Pelodiscus sinensis: one gene and its partners. The protein of the gene in region 1 binds, or shares a complex with, the protein of each later gene. Links are inferred from orthologs where the notes say so. Each region holds a gene or a part of one and is shown in the gene's direction. Other genes may lie near its edges. The genes, in order: CTNNB1, NR5A2, BCL9 and CDH26.

What was found.
Region 2: the proteins of CTNNB1 (region 1) and NR5A2 are in contact, whole or in part, in a crystal structure (PDB 3TX7), measured with the Homo sapiens proteins. The link is inferred for Pelodiscus sinensis from reciprocal best matches to the Homo sapiens genes CTNNB1 and NR5A2. Residues at the interface, in NP_001091679.1 of Homo sapiens: Tyr306, Gly307, Asn308, Gln309, Lys312, Lys345, Val346, Val349, Gln379, Trp383, Arg386, Asn387, Asn415, Thr418, Cys419, Gln559, Glu562, Gly563; in NP_995582.1 of Homo sapiens: Ser300, Ile301, Pro302, Glu475, Gln476, Ala479, Leu482, Asp483, Tyr484, Met486, Cys487, Asn488, Tyr489, Pro490, Gln491, Gln492, Thr493, Leu501, Arg507.
Region 3: the proteins of CTNNB1 (region 1) and BCL9 are in contact, whole or in part, in a crystal structure (PDB 3SL9), measured with the Homo sapiens proteins. The link is inferred for Pelodiscus sinensis from reciprocal best matches to the Homo sapiens genes CTNNB1 and BCL9. Residues at the interface, in NP_001091679.1 of Homo sapiens: Leu148, Arg151, Ala152, Glu155, Leu156, Leu159, Asp162, Asp164, Val166, Val167, Lys170, Ala171, Met174, Leu178; in NP_004317.2 of Homo sapiens: Asp349, Leu351, His358, Arg359, Ser362, Leu363, Thr365, Leu366, Ile369, Gln370, Met372, Leu373.
Region 4: CTNNB1 (region 1) and CDH26 share a complex: the UniProt entries of both Homo sapiens proteins name them as parts of the cadherin:catenin adhesion complex. The link is inferred for Pelodiscus sinensis from reciprocal best matches to the Homo sapiens genes CTNNB1 and CDH26.

Annotation. Positions count from the first base shown.
Region 1 is NC_134712.1:177,510,855-177,518,261, reverse strand, and holds the start of CTNNB1 (catenin beta-1), read left to right. Parts: upstream 1-4,405; 5' UTR 4,406-4,438; intron 4,439-7,407. UniProt on the Homo sapiens protein: Key downstream component of the canonical Wnt signaling pathway.
Region 2 is NC_134719.1:44,780,291-44,788,071, reverse strand, and holds the start of NR5A2 (nuclear receptor subfamily 5 group A member 2), read left to right. Parts: upstream 1-4,773; 5' UTR 4,774-4,949; coding exon 4,950-5,013; intron 5,014-7,781. UniProt on the Homo sapiens protein: Orphan nuclear receptor that binds DNA as a monomer to the 5'-TCAAGGCCA-3' sequence and controls expression of target genes: regulates key biological processes, such as early embryonic development, cholesterol and bile acid synthesis pathways, as well as liver and pancreas morphogenesis.
Region 3 is NC_134711.1:163,154,919-163,161,970, forward strand, and holds the start of BCL9 (B-cell CLL/lymphoma 9 protein), read left to right. Parts: upstream 1-4,080; 5' UTR 4,081-4,124; coding exon 4,125-4,177; intron 4,178-5,115; exon of another isoform or gene 5,116-5,287; coding exon of another isoform or gene 5,288-5,301; intron 5,302-5,451; coding exon 5,452-5,768; intron 5,769-7,052. Other genes in the region: uncharacterized protein LOC142820475, read left to right, coding at 3,889-4,080. UniProt on the Homo sapiens protein: Involved in signal transduction through the Wnt pathway. Promotes beta-catenin's transcriptional activity.
Region 4 is NC_134728.1:11,396,996-11,404,275, reverse strand, and holds the start of CDH26 (cadherin-like protein 26), read left to right. Parts: upstream 1-4,278; 5' UTR 4,279-4,332; coding exon 4,333-4,365; intron 4,366-7,280. UniProt on the Homo sapiens protein: Cadherins are calcium-dependent cell adhesion proteins. They preferentially interact with themselves in a homophilic manner in connecting cells; cadherins may thus contribute to the sorting of heterogeneous cell types.

The DNA of each region.
Region 1 (7,407 bases):
TTCTGACTTGTATTAATAAAATATATTTCCCAACTATGCAATAAGCATTACATTACTTAATTATGTCTCAGGTAGAATATTTGAACACTACAAGCATTTTTCTGCCATACCACATGTTTCATCAAAAGTGCAAAACTGTTTTTATACACTGCACATTTAATTTCAGTGGAAGAATTTTGTTAAATGGCCAACATGCAGGATTGTGGTGTTGCTAAATTGTTATTTTTTTAGTTTAGCATTTTAACAATATTATAACTTAGTCTGTAATCTGTACAAAAAATGTGCATGGTTAGAAATCAATTACTTTTTAACATGGGAAATCAAAGATTTGGGCCCTATTACTTAAATATATCTTTAATTGTTCATTCTGCTTTGAGTACATATAAATACCATTGCAACTTTTCCTTTACTATGTGTTTTAAGACATAGCTATATTCCAATTGCCTTAGCAAGAAAGGTGACCAACGAAATTTACCTTTATCCGTTTTTTTTTCTGTTTGAGCTGCTCCCTACTGTGATGCGGAGTTAAAAGTTGACGCTGCAAAAACAATGTCAAGGATGTTAAAAAAGGCTAAAAAAGACATTTAAATCATTATCTTTTTAAAATTTAACCAAGAAGTTCTCTTTTGCAGCAAACATGTCTCACTGCAGAAATACACAATGGTCTTGCCAGAAGGCTGTTTGACTTTTTTTTAAAGAAGTCTCCAGTATAGATAACTAACAAACACTTACCAAAAATAAATCTATTAAAATACTAATCAGGTCTTTAAAAAAAAACCTATATATATAATATGAAAGCTTGGGGATTGAGGAGAGAATAAGTAGAGTGATTGTATATTCTCCATTGTTTATTGTGAATTAATTAACTGAAGCCCTGAATTCTAATAGCCAAGACAAAATGTTTCCCTTTTTCATACTGTACCATATTACATTGTATTTTAGAAACATCTGTAATAAAACAAAGTGCTATTACAAGTTAAAGTAAATTGCAATTATAAGACTTACATATAGCTATTAAAGCAATGGCTCTTCTCAGCTATCTCCACCAAACAGAAAGTATCTGGTAAATAGTCAAACTGCTCATTGACTAAATACTGTAAACCAAACCAAATCAAAATGTTAATTGACTACTGCCTAGATACAAAAGTAACTTAGCAACTCTGCAATAAATCTAGTACAGATTAAATGACTAAAAATATACAATCTTATAACTCCTCTTAAACTCACTATAAAGCAACACAATCTGCTGAAGGCATTCTGAGATTCATAATTTAAAACCTCCTTTAAAAGAGGTTCATTCCAGTGGTCCTCATGTCAAAAAGAAGAGCAGTCCACAGTCCTGAGGCCAGAAGCAAACAGACTACTCTTCCTGAAAAAAACCAGACTCCAGCATTCCCTGTCCCCTCAGACCTCAGGGGGTGGGATAGCACACAAAGAGACTCTGAAAGGTATCTGGGACCATGCAATGTATCAAGGGCATTTAACTGATTCTACTGTTGTTATCAAGGACCCAAAAGAATTGCTTATGGTGAATTTGGCAATAACAATACTTTCCACTGCAGAGATTCTCAGGTGAAAGATACTAACAGTCAGAAATATTATCCCCATTTTACAGAGGGTGAAGTTAAGACATATATGATTCATTTGCCCAAGGTCATGCAGCAAAGTAACTGGGGAGACAAGGAGTTTCACAAAGAATCAAGCTCTTTTGCGGCTAGTATCCAACCTAATTCCCCAAAACCATACTGCCTTGGAAAGCTGTCATAATGCAGAATGAAAAATCCTGATGCAAACTGAATGCCACTAACAGGGCATTTGTGCTAACCTTTGTGCTTAGAACAGAAATATTTTAATGAACAATAGAGATTTCCTCCTGCTGGATGTTGGCCAGATACTGAGTCTCAAACCTTCCGAGAAGAATGTTTTATTTCGCCTGGTTCTTTTATTTGTTTCTTCTGAGATTATTGAGGGATTCTTTCAGTCAGGCATGCAGTGCAACAGTCAGGAGGTATATTTAGCAGCCATATATTAGCTAATGTAAGGACCCCCAGTACTTTCTTGGAGTTAGAGGCATAACGCCCCCTAACTACACATTATGCCTACGGCACATACAGGCTAGGACTTGGGTTTTGGAGCTGGGACAGCTTGTGGGAGAATGGCCCCTCACAGGGCAATGACTGCGAGAAGCAGTCTGAAGATTGCTACATGCCCTAAAATGGGGGGGGGGGGGTTGAGACCGTTAAAGAGCAATACCTTGAAAGCCCATTGTAACAGTGACATAAGTCTCCCCCAGTTGAGAAAGCCTCTAATGTTGTCCCACCCCGGCTCTGCTCTGCCGGTGCCCCGCTTTACCTGCGTGCGAGGAGTGGGCTGAACAGGGGGAGGGAAGAAGAGGCCGCCTCGCTTCCCCACGTGGCCTCCTGGCACCCAAGAGCCGCTCGCCATTCCAGCCCCGAACCCCACCCCTTGGGATGGCTGAGGCGGAGCCTGGGAGGCTGCGGTGGGACCTAAGGTAAACACGGGGCCGAGCGGACCCAGTGACAACGCGCCCTTAATGACCTGGGCGCCTTGGCACAGGCAACGCGAGAGCGAGCAGCGGGCGAACCACTTTCGGTCCTACGTAGAAGACTTTAAAGTTTAAAGCATCTTCCTTTCCCACGCCAGGCAACAGGCAACACGGCAAACAAAGTCCAAATGTAGGCGGTTGTTTTGTTTGCCTGAAATATACTTTACCGGTGCAAAATCGCGCGTGCAAAGAGACTGCATAATAAGTCTAGCCAGTGCAACATCAAATGCCAGTTTAAAACATCCCGCTAGTGCAAGATTAAGCATACAAAGAAAGAGCCGCTGTGTGTGTGTATATATATTTTTTTTTCTCTGAAGAGCAGATACACGATCAGATAGGAGCAAAAAGAGCTTATGTGAATTACATCCAGTGCAGATACAAAAAAGAGGCACTATAAAAGATATGTGGCTAGTTCAATATGATATACGAAGAAAACGCATATAAAAACTCAACAAAAACACCACTCTGCGTACGTTAAAAAACCTTATTTTGCTACTGCAAAATCATGTATTAAAAAAATGCCGTGGTTTTGTTCTAGCTGTGTGGGTTTTTTTTTAGAATACACTCATTTGTATCCATGCTCATTCGCTAAATTGTGTCTCTTATTATAGTTTAACTATCTACTTGATATATTGAACATATTTTGCTAGTGAAAAAGTCTGTAAAAGAGTTTGCAATAGGCATGCAGAGGCTGAAGTGGATGTGCAAGATCGTGCATGCAGTGGGAAAGCATGTGTAATTCATACTATTTTCCTGTTTTTAAAACTCCTCCAGAAGGCGAAAAAGTCGAGTTTCTCCCATAAAGCCATTGCATAACTAGATACTTTCTTTGGCAACAGCTTCCTGACAAATATTTATAAAGGAATTGCAGAACGCGTTTCCGCCTACGTGAATGAGTCTCAGTCATAACCACCTTCCCCAGACTCACTGCCACTTTTTTTTTTTTTCAAGGAGCGGCGGAAAGCAGGGCACCGTGTGCCTCCAGCCGGGCACAGTGTGAGCGGGACGGGGAGGGGCCGTCGTTGTTGTGTTTTGCAAGCCGCTTTCGGAAACGATCATTTTTTGTTCCCTGTTGCAAATCAGAAAGTTTAATCAGCGGTGCGGGAAACGCAAAGGCGCAGAGGGCTTGCTATTAGCTCTGCGCTCCGCAGCAAGCCTTGGGGGAAACACGACGCCACTTTCGATAGCTAGGGGAGTGTAAAAATCCCTCAGCCCGGTCCGTAACTCCTAATTCGTTGGGGGGGGAGGGGTTGAGAGGAACCAGCAGCTGATCCCTTGCCAAGTGGTTACTGCCCCTTTAAGAACAACACGCTGGTGCTGTTCCCCCAGCAGCAACTTCTCTCCCAGGCAGGAAGGAACCAGCCTCGTCCCAACCTCCCGAAGAAGGTGTCTCCGCCGCCCCTCCCCATCCTGGCCTCATCACACCTCCCTCTCGGCTGGATCACTGCTCCCATCCTGCCTTGTTCTCCACAGCGCCCCCGCTCCCGCCTGTGTTCCCAGACTCCCCACCCCCTCCCCCTTGTGCAACTCCGCCCGCCTCCCCCCAGCGCCCTCCGCAGGGGCGAGCTACCTTCGGCGGGTGGCGCACAGCTGCCCTTTGTCTCCCTCCGCCCAGGGAGCCGGGCACTATTTCTCCTCCCCCTGCCCGGGCGCTTGGGTGCCTGTGGAATGCTGCGCGCCGAGCCCGGCAGCGGCGGCAGGATACAGCCTCGCCTCGCGCGCCCTATAAGAACCTCCTTGCGAGCGACGCCATTTTAAGCCTCTCGCTTGGTTCGGCGGCAGCGGCAGGGGAGTGTCCGGCGGCGACCGACCGGAGGCGGCGGCGGCCGGAGACCAGGGCTGCGGGACCTTGCGCTCTTGCCTCCCCGCGGTGTCAGTGGCGCTTTCTGCTCATTTCCCGCTTCCCTCCCTTAGCCCGGCGGGGGAGCCGGGCGTGCGGGAGCCTCGCTCCGGGCTGTGCGGGGGTGGGAGGCTGGGGGGGGGGGGTTGCCCGGGCGGGAGGCCCGCGCTGGGCCTGGCCGGAGCGTGGGAGGGGGGGGGGTCACTCGGACACGGGGCACTGGCTCGGGGCGGTCCGGACACTTGAGTGGCCGGGGCGGCAGCTGAGGCGCCTCGCGGGAGGCTGCCGGACCGCTGGCCGGGGTGGCGGGAGGCGCGTTGTTTGCAGCCGGGCGCTGGGGTGGGAGGCCGGTCCCGGGGGCTCCGCGCTCTGTGGCGGGCGTTCCGGCGCGGCTCCGGGAGCGGGCGGCTGTGGGGGAGGGAAGCGGGTTCGGGTTTGTTTGGACGGTGTAAGTCTAACGAACGTGCTGCTGGACTGCGGCCGCTGTTATCTGTTGCGCTCTGGGCTTTTGTCTCCGCTGCGTGTTGTGCTTGCGGGAGAGGCGCCTGGTGGTGTCCCTGCCGCTGTGGGGTGTTTTGAGTAGTGGCTGCTGCGGAGCGGGGTGTAGCCCGAGCGAGTTTAAAACAACCCAACTAGCTGGAGTCTCTCTAAAGAAAGAGCGAGGTGTCTTGAGGCTTTCCTACCGGGGGAGGGGAACTTGCTGGCTTTGGATTAGGCCATTTCCGAATATGCAGCGTGTTGTGGGAGAGAGCTGATCCTTCTGAGGGGAGGCGACCAGACTTGCACTCTTCTTCTCTCCTCTTCCCCCCCCCCCCCCCCGGCTTATGTAAAACTTAAAAATAAAAGTTCAGGCATCTTTTACGTTCATAGTTTCGGGCTTTTTGCCCAAACTGAAGTCTTAACGATTTATTAAAAACACTGGCCATTCTTGGGACAGCGATGCCTTAAAACAAATCAGAAATCTTAATTTTGTTTCTTGGCTCTTTCCTTAAAAGAAACTTGATACACTAAAAAAAAACCACTGGTAGTGTCTCTACTCTTTTTTTTTTTTTTTAAGTGAAAAGGTGGCTTTCCGTACGATTTTTGGAGGAAAAGCCCTTCTATGCAATGCTAACTGCGTAGGGAGATTTTTTTGGGGGGGGATAGCAACACTGAATCAGTTGTAAACGCTGGCTGTATTTTCTTGATCTCTTCTGTGTGGGTCGTCTCTTGTTCCCGTGCTTCCTATCTTCCAGACATCTGTGGTCCTCCCCTCCCCCAAGTATGCAAGTGGTGACTGGAAAGAGGCTGGGCTGGTATGCTGAGGTCGGTGGAAGGAAGTCAAGGAGGGGTTTCAGTAAAATGGGGACTCTGAGAGTATAGTAGGCTCAGATTAGAAACTGTCCCGAATGAACAGGACCGCTTCCTCTGATCTTAAAGTTGCTTGTATTCTGTATTAGGATTTATCTCCTTTGGGCTGGCATGTGAAGTCCTATTTGGCCAAGTTACCCACCTTAGATTCTGTTAGTTAACTAGTAATGTGTTGAATGCCTACAAATTTAACACACTTGTCTTAGGCAGTTAAAATCTTTATCTAAAGACACTAGTCTGTGGATCCCATTGGCATCAATGGCAGATGCTGGATGCTTGGCGCTGTTGAAAAATAAAATTTTAGATACCCAAATCAGCTTTAAGAGCTGAACACCCTGAAATTTCACCATTCTATAAATTGCATTAATATACTGTTAAATGTATACTTTGATTTGAGGAGCCTAGTGTTTGACTGCCATTTTTTAATACAAACAGTCTTCAAAAATGTAGAACTGAAGAGACTTGTAGGCTGGCTATAGAGGTTGCTCTGACACAACAGTTAATGTTAATTTACTGCACAACTTGTGCTTCATGACTTCAGTAGAATCTACATCTTGTAGCCAACTCAGAGTGGCTTCAACTATTTCCTATTGCCTCAAGTGTCCTAAGCTTTTTGACTTGAGCTATTTCTACTTTTAAGGCATGTAAGCAAGATTTTTTTTTTTTTTTTTTTGGAAGTGTCTCTACAGAACTCAAGACTTTCATCTGGTTATGCGGTTCTAATTCAGGGTTTAAAAAATAGGGTTGTGTAACTGTGGCTGGGTAGCTAGCATTTGTTACTTCTGTGTGTTAGTTGCTGTCATTTGTAAGGTAACTTAGTTTTACAAATTAAGTGCCTGCTGCCCTGGGCTAGAGCAGGTTTATCAAGGAAAACTGTCATCATAAAGAGTGGGTGAGGCAAAGTCCTCCTTTTAAACTTGTGAGATTTTCTTGATATGCTGATCTGACTGGATACTGTCATCCACTTCTTAGAATAGTGTTAACTGAATAGATCAGATCTTATAAATGTGCCACATTGAAGAATAGCAGTATTACAGTAATTCACAGCTTTATAAAAACCTGCAAAGTATTTCCAGTGCCTGCTACACATTCTACTTCTCCCTCTTCCCCTTCATTATATCAACTTCCATGTGGGAGAGGTTCAAAACCAGTTGACCTGCTTTCTTGAGTGATTCATGCAGTGTTAACTTTCTCTTCAGTTTTCTTTTGTCTCTGGAGATACACTGGCTATAAAATTAATGCACTCAAAAAGGGAACAGTGGTTAAACAGCCATTGTAACAAATAGTGCTGTTAATCTGATTTAGAAGTGGATAGGAATAGCATTCAAATGATAAAAGGGAATTTTGAAATCTGTAGTTATTATAGTAAATATTTTGTGTATTTCTCATTGGCTTAGCAATAGTACTTGTTTCCCCTGAAGTGACCAAAAATCTGACTCTCCCTCAGGGAGATGTGCAAATGCTACATACAGATGACTTAAGTTAAATGAAAGAGGTTGATCAGACTCTGAATATTGTCAAACTTTGCTAATATCCACTTTGCCGCCTTCTGATTTTTGTCAAGGAGTTGAAATACATTTTATGAGTGCCTGTATTTCCAAATTATTCCGTTCATGGAATAAGACTGACAGGTTTGCTAGTCCAGCCACTG
Region 2 (7,781 bases), on another chromosome or scaffold:
AAGAAATACTGAAGTGGCCAATGGGATTCTCTGACTCACTGGTAAGACTGTTATAGGGCTTTAGGAATTCACACTTGTAAGGAGGCTGGTAAAATCTAATTAAACAACATACAGCTATATTGGGGTTTCTGCTCTGCTGTTTGATAGTCTGCCCCACAACTGGCACTTATGGTTATGAGTCACTCCAAGCAGCATGACAAATTTCTGAACAAAAAAGGAAGCCAAGTTCATGAAATCCCTGATTGAAAGGATCCTTTGAAGTCAGCCATTGGGACAGAGACTAACTAAATTATTTATTAATTAATTATTCATCCACTTCAGCACAACAGTTGAGACTACTTTTAGAAGAGGTAACACTTTGAAGGTTCAAACATTTATTTTCACAATAGTAATGTTACCATTCTCTTATTCAACTACTTTTTCTTTCTATAAATTAGTTTGAATACATTCATACCCAGAACTAGGAGGTGGCAGAGTCTGAAATGTATTTCCAGTTCTAATGTATACTGCATTTTATGGCATGGGGAGGAGAGGATGCAAAAGCAAGAGAGAGAATAAAAAGAACTAGTCATTTCATGCTGCAATTGCACTATAAGGACACAGTCATTTGGAATCAGCTGCAGGAAATACATTGACTAAATCAGAACTTTCACACTCCAGTATATATATATATATATATATATATATATATATATATATATATATATATATATATATATATATATATATATATATATATATATAAGAAACACAACAGAAAGTTAAAAATTAGTGGATCAATCAAGATCAGATTCTTCTACTTCCTCTTTTGGAAATACAGAGAAAAAGAAAGAAAAGCACCACCATTTTCTACCTAATGTGCTATTTTGGTAATGAAATATTTTGAATGTCAAAAATAATATAAAATATATAAACGAAAATATATTCAATATATTTCAAATGAATCCGAAATGTATGTCACAGCCCCAGAAAAGAATATTTGAATGGATGAGGTAAAAGCAAGATTTGCAGATTTTTATAAACCTTACCCACATGAGTAATCCTTGCTATTTATGCCTATTACCCTAGTGCATGAGTATTATAGGTAACCTGATTTGACTCCCACTGAAATCAACAGCAGTTTTGCCATTGACTTCAGTGGTAAGCTAATCACACCCATACATTGACACACCCTTCTATTTACACAAAATGAGAAAAATTTTAATCTTCACTGACTTGTCTAAAAACGGCAGAAAGCCTCCTGAGAGGGCATAAAAAGGCATTGATGGATGGACCAGATACCAAGAGAGCAATGTTTTTAAAAAACTGAAGTGAAGGGGTAAACTCCAGATTGATCTCACTAGATTTAAAACCAGAAATTCAAACTGGGGTCTAAGAGCAATTTCTAACAGTCACTATGTGTTCATCAAGCCACACTGCAAGGTATCTCCTCTGCCAAACTCTGGCTTCTTTAAAATGCATGCAGTGACAATGTGATGTGATTCACAGAACATGAAAAATTCCTTCCAATTCCATATTTGTGGCAAATGGTTGCAAAGGATTACATAAGCAAAATTCAGTCTCAGAAACCTTGCCAAGCTTTTTCAAACCACTAACTTTTTCATCTTGCAATAAATGAAAAAAACATTGAGAAAGCATGTTTCTACTTAACATTTTCCTCCTCCCTTCATGACCTACATGACCATGAATGGAAAAATAAAACAGTAAAAATATCACCTTGCAAAAGCCTTCTCTTGTTTGTATCAGAAGAAATGAAGTATGGAGCACACAGATGTAGAAAATTATTGCACAGTGCCATAACTACAAGAGAAAGCTGGCCTCATTAAAGTCAAATGGGACTTTTACCGTTGAATACTCTGAATAGAACTGTTTAAGTTCCTGATCTAGCAAATACTAAAGCACATGATTATTTTTACGCCTATGATTCAGTCAGACTATTCACATGCTTAAAGTTAGACATATCTTTAAGTACTTCACTGGGTCAGAGCCTGAGTCCCTTTTGCTAAGTAATGGCTTATTAACAAGCTGATGTAGGATGCCCTTGAGTTTTCCTATTAACTTTTATCCTTCCTATTGGCCCAGGCACTATTAAAAGTCTGTTTGTCTCGGCACCTGGCACAAATTCTTCTATCACTGAAGACAATGTATCATCGAGGGAAGGAGGTACATTTTTAAATGACCTTGACTTTTGATACTGATGCAAAAAGGAAAGGAGCTACAGAAGTAAAGCCAAAACCATGGACTTTCTTTCTAATTCCTCTGATTTAGTGTATCTGTCCCATGTACTGCAGATTCCTTTATAGACACTCTTACATATGAGCCAACTGAGCTAAAACACTGTCTCTAGTGATAACAGTGGAAAGTTTCTAACCACAGTATCATCTGCAGCATTTCTTTTATTTTAACCCTCCCCCCAACTCTGGGGCTTAAATAGAAAATAAATAGTCTCCCTGATTGCAGAAAAAACTGAACTTGAACCTGAAGTTCTTATTATTTGATCATCATGTGAATCAAGATTAGATACAGAACCTGAATCAAATAATATTTTCCTATAAAAACAGTCACATCTCTCTCCAGTTTTTGAAAAACATGAAGCCACTTCAAAATATTTCAGTGACTGTAGAGATGTGTCCACTATTATTAAATGTAGCCATTTACTCTGGCATGTAAATTTAAGCTTTATACATAATAGATAATAATCATTTACCAGAACTTTTCACTTTCACTGTCATACAAATTAATACAATCCTCCTGGGAGGTACGTCAGTGTAGTAACACTGCTATATAGGTGAGAAGACAGCAGATGAGAGATAAGGAGCCCGGTTTTCAAAAGTTGTAGGCACACATATGTGCATATGTGCACGAATGTACACGTCATATGCATTGTTACCATAATAGAATGTACACATTTATTGATATAACTTGTTACTTGGGAGACCAAGTATCTGATTAACGCCCCCCTTTGTGGTACCTACACAGGCAAATAAGTCATGCATTTTGTATTTATGTTATGCATCTAACTATTTTGAAAATCAGTCTCTACCTATCTTATTTGCAAAGGCCATAAAGGGAGATGGTGTTATATCATAATTATAACTCAGGAGTTCAAGGACCCCAGTCCAAAACTATTTGAAAACCACTACAGACAACCTCTCACATCCAATGCCCTACTGTAACTTCAGTCCTGACCAGAAGGTCTGTATACTATTTAACCTGAGTCAAAACTCATGCCAAAATGTATAAAAAGATGTGTGTGGTCTGTGGTGCTTTAGGGTCTGATGCAAATTTCACAGATGTCTTTAAAAAGACTCTAGCTTACTTGAGAGAGCTTTAGAGATGGCCCACAACACAATCAGTTTTCTCTCTTTTGGAATAGTCTGGAAATATATTAATGTAAATTGGATACGACAAGCCTGATCTGATCTCACAAAAGTTTTACACTGATGGAATTCCATTGATTTCTGTGACATTATTCCTCATCTATATTGGAATAATAAGAGGAGAAACAGAGCCAAATTCTGCGCTGTTACACAGATGTAAATTAAAGTAAATTGAGTTAGTTGCATTTTATTTCCGGTACCGTGTTGCTGGGGGTTCACCTAGACTACAGGCTTTTGTCGACAGAAGTTTTGTCGACAGATACTGTCAATAAAGCTTCTGTCGACAATGAGTATGTAGACTACATCCAGTTCTGTCGACAAAGCAAGCCACTTTGTCGACATGACAGTGTAAATGCAAAGGACAGTATAGATGCAATAACGCCTTCTGTCGACAGAACTCTGTCGACAGAAGGCATTATTCCTCGTAGAATGAGGTTTACTGCCATCGACAAAACTGCTGAGTTCTGTCAACATTATGTAGACAGAACTCGGTGTCAGTGTAGATGTAGGTATAGTTTTGTCGACAAAACGCCACTTTTGTTGACAAAACCCTGTAGTCTAGACACACCCTCGGAGAAGAATTTGACCAGCTGACAGATGTGCTCACAAAGTCATGCAGTGATCATGCTAACCCTTATAACATTTATTTTCAGCAAAGCACTGTTCAAAAAAATTCTACAACTTAGGAACATTTCTTGCATTAAAGCTGCTTTAATTGTGAACACAATAATGCCTATACAAAATTTTCCTATAATAACAATGTTGTAAAGCTCTCGTTTTATTGAGAATATAGTGTCTGATTTTAACTAAATGGCTGTCATCCAACAAGTTGGGAGTTAGTCTCCTGTTTAATGAGTAGGTGCAATAAAGTAGGTTTGTCTGAAAAAAAAATCACCAGAGGTTTGCTAATGCTCTTACCCAGGGAATAGAGTTTGAAGCAGATACATAGACCTAGTTTAAGAAATTAACGTTTGCTTGTTTTGCCATCCAAAGTGTATTTACAGAAGCCAAAACAGCCATATTTGTTGGCCGCTGTGCAAAGAGGTGATGACATCGAAAGGACAGGTCACAAGCCGGAGTTTATTGTCATTACATTTACATTGGTACTGGGTTTTATCCACTCAGTATGATCTTCTGACCCCACAATTTTACAACCTTCCACTCTCTGTGCTTCATAGCACCTCTCCACTTGTAAGTTAATAATTTATCTGCCATTATCTGCCAAGAGTTCTTATCTCTTTTGCTGTCACTTTATAACAGAGTCCTTTTATCAATCTGTACAGAGTCATGTGACCATGCCGAACCTATCAAAAGTTTCAATTCTTCTGATTAGAGTCTGTCATGAAATGGGATACATGGTTTAGGGCAGGCCACTAATGTTGGAAAAAGTACAGAGTCCATTGAAGGACATATTTGCTACTTTCTGAATTCTTGGATTTTTGTTGTTGTTCATCTCGCTGACTTTCTCTGAAGGTTATTGTAGCCTTGGTCCCAAGGCCAGAAAAGTTTACAAGCCACACCTTTCGCCAAACTCAATGCTGTACACCCTATACCCAAGGACACCTAATAATGTCTTCTAGTTCTGACACAGGCAACATACAAGAATCTATAAAACATGGGCTTACACCAGTTGGTAAGTAAATGCTTTTCTATTATAGTAACTCTGCTTAAATCTGTTAACCTTGAGTCTTATCATCCATTTCAAATTGAAAATCATAGTTATGGGATAACTTAACTGTTTAATTTACACTTTGATTTTATCAACATGAATATTAATGCATTAAAATCCATGTTTAAAATTTTAACAGTGGATCATTTAACTGAATAACTCTCTCTTCTCCGGGTTTATTATAATCACTAAATACATAATCTGCTATCACTCTAGTTTAAACTATATGGCAAAACATAACATAATTAATGTAATTGTTTGTTACAATATATTTGTGCAATTGTCATTAAATATATAAAAGGCATAAATATAAAAAAATCAGGCCGATGTCTATTTCATGAAGTCAATAAACACCTCAGAAGCATTTTCCAGTCTTATCACAAGTACTGTGGATGTCTAATATGTATTTATTTAGATACTGTACATATGAAGTGTGAGAAGGGCACTAAATAACATAAAATCTAATATTTTAAAGTATCTCTATAAAGTTCAAATGCATTCAGATAGTATCTGGAATCACCAGCTCCACAACACTAGAAAACTGGAAGGCATTTATTTTATTGCATTCAGGCTCTTACTGGGTGTTGCATGGTGTGTCTTGGTGTCTTGATGTTGTTTCTCTGGCATATTTTTTTAGATTGTTTGGGGGGGGGCATATGTTTCTGTGTTGTTTGCCCTCCCTGTGTAGTTTGCCCTCTCATCACACTTCACTTCAATCTTCATAGAAATGTCCAGACTCGATTTATTCTCCTTATTCCACGGAGTTCCTACAAAATAGACCTAGAGGGATTCGTTTTCCTTAGAGAGTCTAGCATCCTACCACCTAGCATCGGTGGGAAGAAAGTTGCGTGCAGACAGCAGCGAATCACTGGGCGCTGGGGTGACACCGGGCTGTGATTGTGCCAGGTTTGGCAGGGAGGGATTTTACTTTTCAATAGTTCTCCAAACCCTTTGCGAATCCCGACTGTGTCCCGTGAACCCAGCATCTTCTTCCTGTGCTTCGAGCTAGCCAGGAGTTGCTAGTCGTTCCATGTCCTGTCCGGGGTTTGCTTGCACAGGGTCTCCGGTTGTGCAGGTTGCATATGCAGAGGCTCAAGCAGAGCTCTCGGGAAAGCCAATCGGGCAATGCAGACAGCTCTTGTTTATAACACCCTGGCTGAGCACAGCAACAGGCAACAGGTTTCTCCGCACCTGGCACTGTTGAAGTGCCCTGCCCGCTGTTGTATGTCACTCTGGGGCAGGGCTGTCAGAGCACCAGGGAAGGAGCGAGTGTGAGGCTGGACTTTTACTAACTCCTGCCTGGACAGCTGCTTTGCGCCTGGAAAGCCTTCGGAATGGAGCTCTCTCCTCCTGGGTGGGGTCTGGTGCTGGGTGGGGGGGTCTTTGAAGAGTTGGCTCGCAGGCAGTGTAAGGACGAGGGAATAATGCAGCTGAAACAGGATCTTTATCTCTTGGGAGGAGCCGCTGCTTTCCTTTTAACTCCGAGGGAGCCGCTCAGCTCTGCTTCCCGAGGCGCGCCGGGCAGCCCTCCCAGAAGGCCGGGCAGGGGGCCTTTCCCTTTCCCCTCCACCTCCGCTTCTCGTGGGTCCGCGTCTCAGCCAAGGGAGGGAAGCTAACGGACTTGGCGGCTTGTGCTGCTCTCCGTGAAGCTCTGGACCCAGAATTGCCCCCTGGCAGGCTGCGCACAGAGCCTGAGCGGCGGCCGGACACCGGGAACTTCCCAGAGCGCGGAGCGCTAGGTCTCCTTCCCACTGCAAAGCGGCCCGTTATGGGGTCAGCGTCTCTGCACAGTCGCCAGCGACACAGCCCGGCCAAAAATACCCCAGGGACACGGTGACCAGCTGGGGGGGGGGGGGGGAGGAGGGGAGAAGGGGGAGCTATTCCCCTGAGATCGTATGGACTAGAGGCAGGATCTCCGCTCGTCTTCTGGGCGCATCTTTCCATCTCTTGCATCCCCCGCGCAACCAGCTGGGTTTCCCTCCACCAAGCCTGGGCATCGATCCGTTGCTTTGCCTTGCGGCAGTGTGAGAGGACCCTTAGGGGATGGGGGGGGGGGTGAGGCGGCTATCTCACCTCTCCCCACCTCAGCCTATCCCTCCCCCCCACCCCCCTTAGGATTTTGCGTGCGGACTCTGGCCCAGCAGGGTTCCGTGTGTTCCAGATGTTGGACTTTATGACCCACTTGTCTAGGGGCAGTTTGGGAGGTTTTTGTGCAGACGCTCTCAGGTCGCCTTAGCAGTCCTCGGTTGGAAGGAGGCTCAAGAGATCACAAGATCTAAACTGGACAAACTTCGGTCCATCTAAAGACCACTGCGCCCGGACATGCTTAGCATAGGAAGGGTTAGTCCAAACTCCTGTTTCGTGTAGATGCCTGTGCTCCTTTACACCACAGTTCTGCAAGCTTAAGAAACATGAGGGGGTTAGCAAAGGAAAATATGAAAAGAGATAAAGGGTCTGATTCTGCTCCCTTTAGGACATAGATAAACCAGAATTCCACTGACCTAAACTGACTTAATTACCTTAATGTAAAATTACAGCTAGGGCATGTGTGTACTTCTACAGTTTGCAGGCCAAATGTATAGGAGTTTTAAGTGGGAGTAAAATATGGCAGCACTATTGAACAATTTAAATTTAATATAAAGTATTACAGTTATAAATAACACTAAATAGGGCCAAATCCTGCATCCCTTACTCAAGTTAGCCTTATCTCAGGACATTAATGAGAGTTTTGC
Region 3 (7,052 bases), on another chromosome or scaffold:
TGTTGTAATTTGTCCCAATTGCCATTAACCTCAATGTCTCTAACTACTTTCTCCTTCAAAATTTTTTCCAAGATCTTGCATACTACAGATGTCAAACTAACAGGCCTATAGTTACCCGGGTTGCTTTTTTTCTATATTAGCAATTCTAGGAACTATATTAGCAATTCTCCAGTCAAATGGTACAACCCCTGAGTTTAGAGATTTATTACAATTTTTTGCTAATGGACTTGCAATTTCGTGTGCCAGTTCCCTTAATATTCTTGGATGAAGATTATCGGGGCCCCCCAATTACTCCCATTAAGCTGTTCAAGTTTGACTTTTACCTCGGATATGGTAATATCTACCTCCATATCCTTAGTCCTATTTGTTAGGTTACCATTATCCCTGAGCTCTTCATTAGCCTCATTAAAGACTGAAGCAAAGTATTTGTTTAGATATTGGGCCATTCCTAGATTATCCTTAACCTTCACTCCATCCTTAGTAATTAGCGGTCCTACCTTTTAATTAGCTGTTCAAAACAGCTGGCCGTTCCCTCTGTGCAGTGCACAAGGCAGCTAGAAGGAACAGCCCCCTTCCACCTCAGACCTCACCCCTTCCGGGGCTGTCCTGGTACCTCATACTAAAATTGGTGAAGTGGCTCCACTGCAAAAATTGTTGTCCACCCCTGGCCTAACTTCAGTTTCATGAGAATGACCATGAGTAAAATTTTCTCCCAAGACTTTACAGCAGTGGAATTGAGGCACTTTTGAAAATGTGAATTCCTTTTTTTCAAGAGGGACTTAGGAACCTCAGACACTGAGAGGCAGTGGGATGTAGGCACGTACGAAGAGCTGATTTTCAGATATGATGATACAGCACCCTGCACACCTTTGTGCATGATAGAAATAACACTGACACTGTAACTACATTGCCCTAAAAACTGATGAGATGCTCTCCTTGCAGCTTTAGATATGTGTATGTGTGTGGTTCTTGTTGAGTTCTGTGGTTCCGAACTGCTCTTGCTCTACCCAATACAAATGAAGTTCTTAATGCAGGAATGTTCCTTGCATTAAGGGACTTGGGCAGAGCAGTGAAGGCAGAAATATTGAGCAAACACATTGCAGTCACCAGGATTGCTCTATAGCAGCCAAGGGCACTGTGGAGAGGAGAATCTTTGGAGTTGTTGAGATCTACAAATTAATTATTGTGATGTCCTGACACTGTATTGAAGTTGCATCAAGGTGCTGATATGATATCATGAAATAAGTGTGATGACATGCCAAAATCACTTAGTGGCGCTGGAGAGCCACAAAACGCCATACAAATGCCTTCCTAGCGAGTTTCTCACTGGCAACAATGTGATCATATGGAGGCAGGTATTTCTTAATCCTCCAGTAGCAATGCATCAGTGAACTGATTTATGTCCTCTTACTACCCGTAAAGTCCTAGTTACTTCATAATAGGTAAGAGCCTGCCATCCTGGTTAATTTTATTTTGTTGCTATTGAGTCATACAAGAAACTGCTTCTTCCTTGCTGAGAAGAAATAATGGGGATATTTACATTTGAATAATTTTTAACTAGCAATATATAATACATGAACAATATTCTAAATGTTTATATTCTAAATTAAGTGGATTTACATCTGAGTAGGTAAAATAAACAGAAAATATTAGTTACAATATTAACCAGATTTTTTTCCACAAAATTCTTTAGTCCAAGGAGCATAAGAAACACACAATTCCAATATTTTCCTCTAATAATGTAGAATAAACTGTGTTATGATGTTCTGTATGGGCCAGTATCATGCCTGTTGCCTCTCTTCAGAAACAAGCTCAAAATTGTTCATGTTAAATTAAAATGTGTTTTTAAATAGCCTGTATGATGCTGAGCAAATTTGGATGGACAGTTCTCCCATATTCGGTCAGTTAAAAGGATTTAGTTTAAAAAAAAATTGACCATGTGTTCTTCTATGCTCTGAGTAATCAAGTCTCATGCTTCATGGCATGAACTGGTTGTTTACAGGTGGTCAGGAAGGTATTTTCTTTCTCTTTCCCTCCTGTGTATCTTCCACCACATAGCATTCCACTAATGGCTAATTATGTTGGGATAGTGTGTGGGGGGGGGAAGTCTTTATCTTCCTCTAAGACGTCAGGTAATGGCCATTCGTAGTGGGAATTCTGGACAATTGGGACAATTGATATGTATAGTCCTATGTTCCTAGTGATTTGGTGTGGGGCAGGCTTAATTAGGTCATACACATTCACAGACATGAATTCTTCCATGACCTAGATGAAAGAGTCTGGATATGACTAAGGATGTTAAGGACTAGTCGATTTCCCTCTTCCCCCGCCCTGTTGCTGCCTCTATTACATAGAGGCAGCAAAGGGGGGAAGAAGGGGTACTTCAAAGCAGCAGCGCCGCACAACTGATCCTGGGATCAGCTGTGAGGCGCTGCCACTTTGAAACACCAACGTGGTGGTCAAAGGGCAGCACCATGCAGAGTCCTGGGTCAGCTGTGGACTCCACAGGCTCCAGGTGGATTTCAAATTGGAAGCGCAGCATGGAGCCTGGGGTGAGTGGTGGACCCTGAGTCCCCCACTGACCCGAACTCCATGAAGGCGCTTCCATTTTGAAATGCACAAGAGTCCCCACTGGGGACTCTTGTATATTTCAAAGCTGGCACGACCCCATGCAGCCCGGAGTCAGTGGGACTTCCTCCTGGCCCCAGCTGCACATGGAGTTCTACCCCAGTTGCAGCTCTTGTACATTTCAAAGGAGGAATGCGGAAGTGCCTTTCGACTAGTTGAGTAGTTGATGGAAATTCCATCGACTACTTGACTAGTAAGTTAACCGCTAGTTAACATCCTTAAATACGGTGAACTTCACTACCTCTGTCTGCCATGCTTGTCTGAATCCAGAGTAACCTGTTTTGGGTTAAGGGAGAATGGCTTCACCTAGAGATGTGAAAGTTTAACCAGTAAGCCTCACCCTTAAGGGTGAGGCTTACCAGTTAATGTTAACTGGTGGGGCTGGAGCAGCTCATTGCCTGCTGCAGGCAGGGGGGCTGCTCCAGCCTTGCTGGAGGCCTGCCTGGCCGGATCAGCCTCTGTCAGTGGTGAGCCAAGGAACCCCCATAAGCAGGGGCTGCTCTGACCGAGCTGTATGCCGCATTTCAAAGCGGCAGGCGTGTGGAGCCCGGGATCTGCCATTTTGACCCTGGGCTGCACACAGCATTTGAGCTGGGGAATCCCCCACTGACCCTGGGCTCCATGCAGTGCTGCCACTTAGAAATGCCATAGGGAGCATGGGGCCAGTGTCTTGAGTCTCCCGCTGGCCCGTGCTCCCTGCAGTACTTTCACCTTTGAAGTGTAGCAATAGCCCAGGGGCTGTTGCTACACTTCAAAGGTGGAGGTACCCTATCGACTAATTTAATAGTCGATGCAAATTGCACTGATTATTCAATTAGCCAATTAATCACAATTTTACATCCCTAGTCCCATCCAGAGCACCCTTTGTTAGCAGTGAGTCAGGATGCCCTGTACACAGGGACTGTCTAGGCTCCAGCTGGGGGAAAGGAGTGTTTCAGCTCACTGGTGGGGGGGCCCTTCAGCTGGGCTGGAGCACCTCGACCCTCGTCCCCCTTTAATCGGTTAACCATTTAAACCATATGTTTAACTAGTTAGCCAATTAAATGGGATTTTACATCCTAGCTTCACCAGATGTGAGTTTTTAATACCTTCCAGAGGCTTCTCCTTGCTGGGCATTCCAGCCAGCTGCACCCTGTTAGTGACGGAGGAAGGATTGCCAGGCACCTGTCGGTTTCGTTCAGGTAATTCAGGGCTTGGAATGTACTTTACCTGTCTTCTGTTCTTTTTTGGGGGGTCGATTTGACACAGTGTGCCCTGGAGATGCGAGACTTCCCCTCAGCAGCAGGAGGCACGCGTTCAGAGAATGCTGGAGCTGCAGGAGGGAAGGGTCCAGTGCAGCGACACAGAGAGACAAAGAGAAAAAAGACAAGTGGACGGACAGCGGTGAGAGAAGCGTGTGGCAGAAAATATTTCAAAGCTGCCAGCAGCAGCAGGGCCCCCAGAGGAACTTGACGAGAGCCCATCCGTGTGCGTGTGAGAGCACAGGATATCTGTCAATGCATTCCAGTAACCCCAAAGTGAGGAACTCCCCGTCAGGAAACACACAGAGGTGAGGAGCGCCAGTGAATTGTTCTGGGATGGAGGGGGAGGTGTCCCATGTCTGCTGCAGCGTTACTCAAGGCTGGGTCAAGCACAGATGATCTTTGTGCTTGTACTCCAACACAAAGTCCTCCCTGTGCTGCTGAGAGGAGCAGCATGGAACTGATTATCATTGCACAATCCTCGTCCATGTCATTCATCTGCCTGTGCCAGACATCCTCCTCCATTGGCTTTGGAAGAGGGAAAAGCTTGAAGGAAAGGTGATCACTGGATGTGTGATGTGCTTGACAGCCCACCTAGGTTTGATGCTTCGCTCCAGGGGTCAGCAAGAGCTGACAGTGACTTGGAGGGGGTGCTTCTGAGACAGCTGTCTGGCCAACCAAAGGAGCATGCTGCTCCTTAGTGAGCCTTGCTACAATGCATTGCCTTTTTGGGTGGGGGTGGGGTAAAATGAGCTCCTAGTAAATCCCTACAGAAGAAAGGAAGGGGCTGACAGTAGCTAAAATAAAGGGAGGAAGGGAGACTGTAATTGTATGAAATCTAAGGAGACCACATAGTTTTAGGATGTAGTTTGTGTAATGGGACAGAGAGTGGGAAAATACTGTTTGTTTGTTTGTTTTTTGTAAAAGCTAATGCAGTCTCCTCCACCGCATTTTTCAGGAGTGTATGTGGAGACAGTATCCTCCTCTTTCCTCATTCAAAGACAGGTTGTAGCTGGTTTAATTGTTTTCATGGTCAGAGGTTTGTATTTGCCTGCAGAGTTTCCCTAATCTGTGATGAGTGCTGTAATAATGCTGGGTTTTCCTTATGCTGTCTTGGGCTGGCTTGTGGTAGGTTTCTCCACTCTGTGATCACAGCTGTACTGTGTCATTTGGGTCTGGATGGGTAGTGTGGTGAACTTTATGGTGCCCTGTTTGTTTACTTTGAGCTGGTCTTGGTGTGAGAGGCTTTTCTGTGTACATAGAAACCGTTGTCTTTATTGACAGAAGCCCCAGAGGTGGGTCCTCATGTGACTGAGCAGGGATCTGGCAGGCCTGCTGCTTGCTCTTGTGCCTCCTTAAGCACTGTGATCCTATATTGGATAATAACCCTTGCAAGGCATGTTTGGAAGAGCAGCTGGATGAAGATAAGCATGTAGGCATTTCTTACTCCACAGCAACTGCCTTGCTCTGGAGAGGCAGTAGCAGTGGCTGCTGTGCTTCTCTCTAACCCAGTCCTGCTGGAGTGATTTGACAATCTCATCTCTGTTTTTAAATTCTCTCTTTTCTTTCTTTTTTTCCCCAGTAGCCCCAAATCAAAGCAGGAGGTGATGGTCCGTCCTCCCACAGTGATGTCCCCGTCTGGAAACCCCCAGCTGGATTCCAAATTTTCCAACCCGGGTAAACAGGGGGGCTCTACCAGCCAATCCCAGCCCTCTCCCTGTGACCCTAAAACTGGAGGTCACCCCCCTAAAGTGCTCCCTGGCCCAGCTGGGAGCATGGGGTTGAAGAATGGGGCTGGAAATGGTTCCAAGGGGAAGGGAAAGCGAGAGAGGAGCATTTCAGCGGATTCCTTCGAACAGAGGGACACTGGGACTCCCAGCGATGATTCAGAAATTAAAGGTAAGTGCCAAGTTTTGGTGTGAGATGATTATTTGGCTTGTGGGGGGTTAGCAAAAGCTTCTGTCTGCCTGAGGTGGTGACTGTGGTGAAGGAGGCTAAATCCCCTGTAGAGAGGGGAGAGGATTTTCCCAGCTGGTAATGATAAATGTATGTCTCTGTGTTCAGTTGAAGTCCAGCCCTGCTTAGGATTGAAAAGTTGTTTCTTGATAACACTGAAATTCCCCCAGAGGTTTTGGGAAAACAAACTGTCAGTCTCCTTCCACCCCATTCTGTCTTGTGGCCTCCCAGGAGCTACTGTGTTTTGAATTGGAGTGTCAGAACCAGCATGCAAACCAGTTTTGTGAATACAGATGGGCAAGGTGTATTGGGTGGTATTATACCAGGGATGTTGAAAGTTGGTTCAATAGGTAACAATGTAACTGCTGAAAATCTCACCAGTTATACGGTTACATGCTGCAGATGCTACAGTATAAAGCTTAAATAAGTTTATTTAAGCTTTATACTGCAGAGCCTGCTGCGAAGCTCCCTGGGAGTGGGGTCACCAGCCCCTGCTGGCTTCATTATTGCATCCACTCAATGGGTGGCAGCAGTCAAAAAAGCAAAAACAATGGTAGTAATCATTTTTTTTTTTTAAGGGGATAGTGAATAATACCAAAAATATCTTGCTGCCTATATATAAATCCATGGCACGCCCACATCTTTCGTACTGTGTGCTGATGTAGTCACCTCATCTCAAAAAAGATATCTTAGCATGGGGGAAAAGTTCAGAAGAGGGAAACAAAAATGATTTGAGGTATGGAACAGCTGCCATATGATGAGAGACTAAAAGACTGGAATTTTTCTGTTTAGAAAAGAGGAGACTAAGGGGGATATGATAGAAGTCTATAAAATCATGATGGGCGTGGAGAAAGTAAATCAGGAAAAGTTATCGTTCCCATAACATAAGAACTAGGGGTTCCCTAATGAAATTAATAGGTAGCAGGTTTAAAACAAACAAAAGAGTGTTTTTTTGTATACTGCACAGTCAACCTGGGGAACTCCTTGCTGGAGGATATTGTGAAGACCAGGACTTGACCAGGGTTCAAAAAAGAACTAGATACATGCGGAGGTTAGGGCCATCGGTGGCTATTAGCCAGGATGGGGAGGAATGGTGTCCCTAGCCTCTCTATCAGAGCCTGGAAATAGATGACAGGAGGAGAGGGATCACTTGATTCCTTGTCCCTCTGGGGCATCATTGACCACTGTCGGAAAACAGGTTACTGGGTGAGCTGGACCTTAGACGAC
Region 4 (7,280 bases), on another chromosome or scaffold:
ATTCCTCTGCTCCTGCAGCTGGCTTGCCTACCTCCTAGAGGGACAGCAAAGCTTCTGCAGTGCTTGCTTGGAGTGCCCTGCTTTGTGGGACACCATAGCATTTGGTTTCCTGGTTGGTTTTTGTGCTTTCAATCATTTTTTTGCCATGGAGCTGGAGCTGCCCCTGGGCAGGCGATGGCCCCACACTGTGATGCTGGAAGTTCTGCTGCATCTTCATGAGACCATCATCATGTTCATGGCACAGCTGGATTCAGAGCCCAGCTTTGAGCCCTTCACTCAAACTGCAGCCCCACTGTCCTTACCACCTAACTTATTCCTGGAGAGGGGAGTTTGAAGGCTGGACACCAGTTCAGACTGGTGGGACCATCTTGTTAGGGAGCAGGGGGACGACAAGGCTTGGCTCTGAAACTGCCATATGCGGAAGTGCATGTTCCAGGAGCTGTGTGCCTGGCTCACCCCTGCCCTACAATGTCAGGACACCCACTTGCGACCTGCCATCCCCCTGGAGAAGTGTGTCGCTATTGCTCTATGGAAGCTGGCCACCCCCGACAGCTACCGCTCGGAACACCAGTTTGGTGTGGGGAGGTCTACTGTTGGGGCCGTCTTGATGGAGGTAAGTCACTCTCTAGGGACAGTCCATAGTGGGGGAGGTGGATAAGGGGGACAGTCAGGACCGGGCAGAGGGAATGGGGTGGGAATGGTAGAAGCCCTCCTGGCCTCTCACTGCTGTGGTGGGGGGGGGGGTGGGGAAGGAGGGTTGCCTGAGGGGGTGCTCTTGGGATCGGGGAGGGGTGAGGGAGCACCTCTCATCAGCTCAGGCAACTCCTCTAATTTCCTCTTATATGTGTTTCTATTTGTCCCTTTCTGCAGGTGGTGACGGCCATCAATTCGGAGCTGCGTCAAGGACTGTCCGCCTTGGAGACCTGGATACCATTGTGGCTGGATTTGCAGGGCTAGGATTTCTGAACTGCGGTGGAGCACTCAATGGGACTCACATCCTGATCCGCGCACTTCCCCATTGTGCAGCGCAGTATATTAACAGAAACGGCTACTTTTCCATGGTGCTGCAGGCCCTGGTTGGTCACCGGGGACAATTCACAGATGTTTGTGTCAGGTGGTCAGGCCAGGCACACAATGCCTGCATCTTCCAGAACTCATACCTGTACCGCAGGCTGGGACATTCTTTCCAGAGCAAAACTTTGCAGTCGGGAATGTGCAGATGCCTATGTCCATCGTGGCCGATGTGGAGTACCCCCTTATGCCCTGGCTCACGAAGCTGTTCACTGGGCACCTGGATTCGAGCAGGGAACTGTTTAACGCCCACCTGAATCAGACTCGCTTCCAGGTAAAGTGCGCCTTTGGCCATCTGAAGGGCAGGTTTAGATGCCTGCTCACTCGGCTGGACATGGGTGAACGCAACATCCCCAAAGTGATTGCTGCCTGTTGTGTGCTGCACAACCTGGGGGAGAGGAAAGGGGAGGCCTTCCTCCCTGTGTGGGGGACATGGGCTGATGTGGAGGGGAGGCTGTTTGAGCAGCCCTGGACAGCTGCCATCCTCCAAGCCCACCAATTGGGATTGTGTATTTGGGAAGCCCTGACGGAGAGATTCTCCCAAGGAGCCCGATGAGTTTCCCAAGGGCCTTCCAAATGTGGGTGTGCCCCATGCCCCCAGTGCCTTCCCCCCAAAACCTATCTCTGCCCCCCGTTGTACACATTCACACAGAGAACAGAGATAGGTGTGCTTGACAAAATGCTTACAGTTTATTGCACTGTTGTATGTTACAAAACCTATATCACTGTTTTGTAAAGAAAAATAAACTTTTTGTTAACAATGTAAAATGCTTCCCTTAGGGTATGTCTATACTGCTACCCTAGTTCGAACTAGGGTGGCTAATGTAGGCATTCGAACTTGCAAATGAAGCCCGGAATTTAAATATCCTGGGCTTTATTTGCATGTTCCCTGGTGCCACCATTTTTAAATGCCCCCTAGTTCAAAGTACCTACCCGCAGCTACATGCAGCACAGACTAGGTAGTTTGAATTAAAACTCCTAATTCAAACTACCGTTACTCCTCTTGCAATGATTCTAGCTTCTACTAGACTAGCAAAAAGACTCCTCACTTACTTACACCCACCAGCCCAACTCAGTTCACTCAACTATGGCAGAGGGGAGGCTTGTTCCTCTGAGACCTCTTACAATGAGGGTGTCTCTCCTGCAAACACTGGTGTCATATTTTACAGTTTCCACATTTATGGCTGGCATGATTTGTGACCCCCACAACATCCCCAAATTAGTTACAATACACCACATTCCATTCCAACACTGATCGTCCATCAGGCCTGGCTGAATTGGATTTACATAGCCACACCTTGTATTCCCTCCCCCTCCTGGCATGAGCTGTATTTACATATCAAGTCAACAGTTAACAGTTAATTATCTTGCAGAGCTAAACAATTGGAGTGAGCACACTCACCCACAGGGCAGCTGTCTCCTTTTAGCTGTCTGATAGCAAGCAGTAGTTTAGCCCCTGCTTATAAATGCTCCACTGCTTCCAGTCCATCCCTACAGAGTGATGCCCCAGAAATACTGGTGTCCTAGGCAACTGCCTACTCTGCCTATGGCTAAGGACTTCCCTGCTCTTCCAACCAGAACTCCAAGAGGGCTTTGATCTCAGGCGCAGACTAGGAGGGTGCCTGGCATTTGGTGCCCTTGGCTTGGTGCGGGGATGTGTCCCTGGAAGGGTCAGGAGGGCTTTGGGGAACTTGTCCCTGGGACATGGCTCTGAGTGTGCCTTCCAGCAAGAGCCGAGAAGTCAGGATCCTGGTTGGAGCTGGCTTGCTGCCACAATGCTACTCCTGGGCGCCTGTGCCTTTAAAAGATGCTACAGGCAGGAACAATGGCGGTGAAAGGTCTGGCAGGGGTGTCCACCAGGGCTTCTTCCTGGAAGCATTTAAAAAAAAAAAGAAAAAAACCTTTTCCACATCCACACATACCTTTTTTTGACAGATCTCTGTTGAAAATAGCATTATTTCTCATAAAATGAGGTTTACTGCCATCAACAAAACTGCCGAGTTTTTTCGATTTACTGTCGACAGAACGCGGCAGCAGTCTAGACACAGGTAAATATTTTTTGAAAAAAGGCTACTTTTTTCGAAAAATCCCTGTAGTCTAGACACACCCTATGGGCAACCTCTCTTTCCTGCAAGGCACTGAGTGCCCTTGAAACTAGCCGGTAGCAGCCTGGGCACTGCACTCCACTTTTCTGTAGATATTGTGTTGTTCTCCAGCTTCTCAGATTTTGTACTTCTGAAAAGAAATCTCCAGTTGTCATGGTTGTGAAGAAAACCGCAGAAATGTGACCTTAACTGAAAATGTGGAGACCAGCTAGTTGAGTTTGTAGGAGCCTGGAACCACGGGGTGGGGCAAACTGCCCCATTCTTCCAGGGAAGTTGTTACTCAGAGGCCTAGTGATGATTTCAGTGTCAACATTGTTAATTATTTTATTGCAGCAGTAAGAAAGATGATATCAGAGACATGCACAAGGCTGGAACAATTTGTGTAGCGGGGTGCTGAGAACCATTGAACCAAACTCTAAGTCCTGTATCTGATGGGAACCACTTCAAACCAGATGAAGTAGCACCTCTAATTCCCTCACCCAGGGGGTCTCATTTTACTACAACAGGTGGGTAGTGCTGAAGAGATACCACTATTTATCCATCCCCTCCCGCCCAGCCCAGGAAGTCAGCATGTGGTTCTCCTAAAGCATAACCCAGGTGGAGCCCAGCAGAGCGGACAGCGCATGGTCCTATATTGAACGGTACCACCTCCCTTGAGCCGAGCCTCGGGTTGCCACGGGCATGGCCACAGTTTGCTTTGGGGGCAGAGCTCTCCCCCCCCTCCTCAGTCTGAGCCCCCCCCCCCAAGCCACACGCTTTGGTGAGAAGTGAGGGGACAGGCTCACGCCGCGGGGCGCCCTACAACGCAGCCCTGCAGCCTCCAGGGAAAGGGGGTGAGGGAGGAGGGTGCCCCCAAATCGCGCGCCCGCCACCCACACGCTCCTACACCGTCTGCGCGGACCGGACTCGCAAGGTGCCCCCCACCCCTAGGGGGGCGGGTCTGCCTGCAGCTCCAGTAGCGACTTGCAAGGCGGCGGACAGCTCCCCCCAGCCGGCCTGGGGAGCCTCTGCATCGCCCGCCCGGGCCCTGCAGTGGAAGGGAGGGGGCGGCACGTGGCCGCCCCGGCTGCTCCCCCAGCCGGCTTTATAAGCTGGGAGGCAGCGCCGCCGCGGATCACATCAGCGGGAGTTCCCGGGACCGCCTGCCCCGCTGGCCATGGGGTGCCTCGCTGCGCTGCTGCTCCTGGCGGTAGGTGTGGGGGTCGCCGCGCTTGCGAGGGGGACAGGGCGCCTCGTGGAGGTTGGGCAGGGGGAGGTCGGGAACCGCGCACTGGAGGAGGCTGGAGCTTTGCACAGGCAAGGGATGCGGGAGCGGGGGAGATGATGAGCCGGTGTTAGGGGAAAACCCTTTGGAAATACCCATCTTTGCTCTTGAAACTGTTCTCCGGTCAACCCACCGGCTTCGCTGAGGCACCGATCTCAAAGAGGGGGGCTTGGCAACATTTGAGTTTTTACAACCATTTCATATTTTTAAGCGTTTGGGTTTTTAATCAGTTTCAGTTTTCTTTGTTGTGAGAAGTTAGGGAGCGACCAGACACTAGTTATTTAATGACAACAGTTAAGAGTCAAAAAGTTATGGTTTTATAACCATTACAACGCAGGTGGTCAACAGAATATATCAACACATGCCAAGTAAAAACTATATCTTTCAATTCAATCCTAGAATGTTCTCCAACCGAATTTTTCTTACTTTGCCTATCTGTAAATATCAACCATCATGGAAGGAAATGTGTCAGTTTGTGTATGTTCTGTGACATCAACATTTGCCAAAAAAATCTAATCCTTCCAAGCCCACAAATAGGTTCTTGCATGCAAAATGTAACCAAACAAGATGGGGATACTCCCACAAGGTAAAACTATGGAAATGACACTTAAAAAGACCGGATACCATTCTCAGTCCCCAGTTCTAGAAAGACTTACACACCTGCTTTTCTTAGCTTTTTTAAGCATAATACTAGTCCCATTAAGTGCAGTGGAACTAGTGACACACATGAAGTTAAACATGTGTGAAAGGTTCTGCAGAACCTTATTTAAACACAAGAGCATACCAGAGAACCCACAGAATTGCAAAGTCAATTGATTATTTAATAAAAACATGTATATTTCACACCTGTTCATTTATGAACTACTAGAATTAATACAAAACCAGTATAAAGTGAAAAGACCTTGTTTACATAGATGTGCTCTTTTATGGCTACAGGCAGTCCCCGGGTTACGTACAAGATAGGGACTGTAGGTTTGTTCTTAAGTTGAATCTGTATGTAAGTCGGAACTGGCGTCCAGATTCAGCCGCTGCTGAAACTGACCGCCAGTTCTGACTTACATACAGATTCAACTTAAGAACCCCAAGCTTCCCCAAGTCAGCTGCTGCTGAAACTGATCAGTGCTGATTCCAGGAAGCCTGGGGCAGAGCAACTCTTCCTCCGGCTTCCTGTAGTCAGCGCTGGTCAGTTTCAGCAGTGGCTGACTTGGGGACGCCTGGGGCAGAGCAGCTGGGGTGCTGCTGGGTTGCTCCAGTAGCACCGCTCCTCGGCGCTACTGGACCAACCCAGCAGCACCCCAGCTGCTCTGCCCCAGGCGTCCTGATTCAGCCACTGCTGAAACTGACCAGCAGCGGCTGAATCAGGACCTGGGGCAGAGCAGCTGGGGTGCTGCCGGGTTGGTCCAGTAGTGCCCAGAGCGGGCGCTGCAGGACCAATCCGCAGCGCCCCAGCTGCTCTGCTCCAGGGTCCAAAACAAAAGCCTGGTCTGCTGGGGGGGGGCACACTAGCCGTGCCCCCCCCAGCAGACCAGGGACACGGGGAGCAGAGCCGCAGCGGCAGCGGGGTGCCGCGCCTCTGAGGCTTTGCTCTGGCAAAGTCTCAGAGGTGCGGGACCCCCCCGCGGCTGCGGCTTGAGTCCCGGTGCCTGTGGTCTGCTGGGGACGGTCCCCAGCAGACCACAGGCACCGGGACTCAAGCGGCAGCAGCGGCGGTTCCCCGCGCTTCTGAGGCTCTGCTCTGGCAAAGCCTCAGAAGCGCGGGAACCCGCCCGGTGCCTCTGGTCTGCTGGAGACGGTCTCCAGCAGACCAGGGGCACCGGAGCAGCTTACGAACGGGGCTTTCTCGCCCCGGAGCTCACAGGTAGCAATCTGCTACCTCGACCTCCGGGGCGAGAAAGCCCCGTTCGTAAGTGCGGATCCGACGTAAGTCCGATCCGCGTAAGTCGGGGACTGCCTGTATAAAGTTTCCTCTTCTCTTAACTACAATTTCCTCTTCTCCTAACTTAAAAGCAAGGTCAGGGTTTGGTTGTTCCAGGACAACTGGAAGTCCTGGCAGAAGGACAGTTTTCCATAAAATGCAAAGGGATGGGCTGCTGTTTGGAGGGATATCAGTTTCCATTGGGGGCAGAGAGACTGCAGGGAAGAGCTATGCTGCAGTGCAGAGTGTTCACTGGCAGCAACTATACCACCAGGAAAGTGACCAGCAGGATTGGGGCTCTCCTATCTTGCCTGCTAGCACACAAAGTAGCTCCCCTGACCCCAAACCTTTCCCCCCTTTAGCACAGTGCCAGAGGTGGAGAAAAAAGGCCCCTGGCAGTGGGGGGACAGCTGGGGGAGAAAAAAGCCCCCCTCTCCTGAGCCCCTCCTTACCCTCCAGACCTCACTCTTATACCCGCCTGTCCCAGGCTCCTCCATCCGCTCTATATCCTGAAAGCCCTTCCCTCAGTCCTGCACTCCCTCCCCCACACCACCACCCTTCTGCTTTGAAGGATCCGGGCAATGCAGGGTAAGTCTGCTATGCTCGTACTCCTAAAAAAACACGCACAATTACCATGATTATATGTGCATATTTCATAGACTAAGGCCAGAAGGCACTACTGTGATGATCACATAGCCTGTAGAATTTACCCCAGAAACTGGATTAGAGCATGTCTTTAAGAAAGAAAATTGCATTTTAAAGATTTTAAGAGTTTGGATTCACTATTTCTCCTGGTAAGCCATTCGTTCCAACCCTTAATTAGCTTCACTGTTAGAAATTGCCATATTTCAAGATTAAATTTGTCTGATATCAATTTCCAGACATTGGTTCTTGTTACCTCTTTATCGGCAAGGCTGAAAAAGTC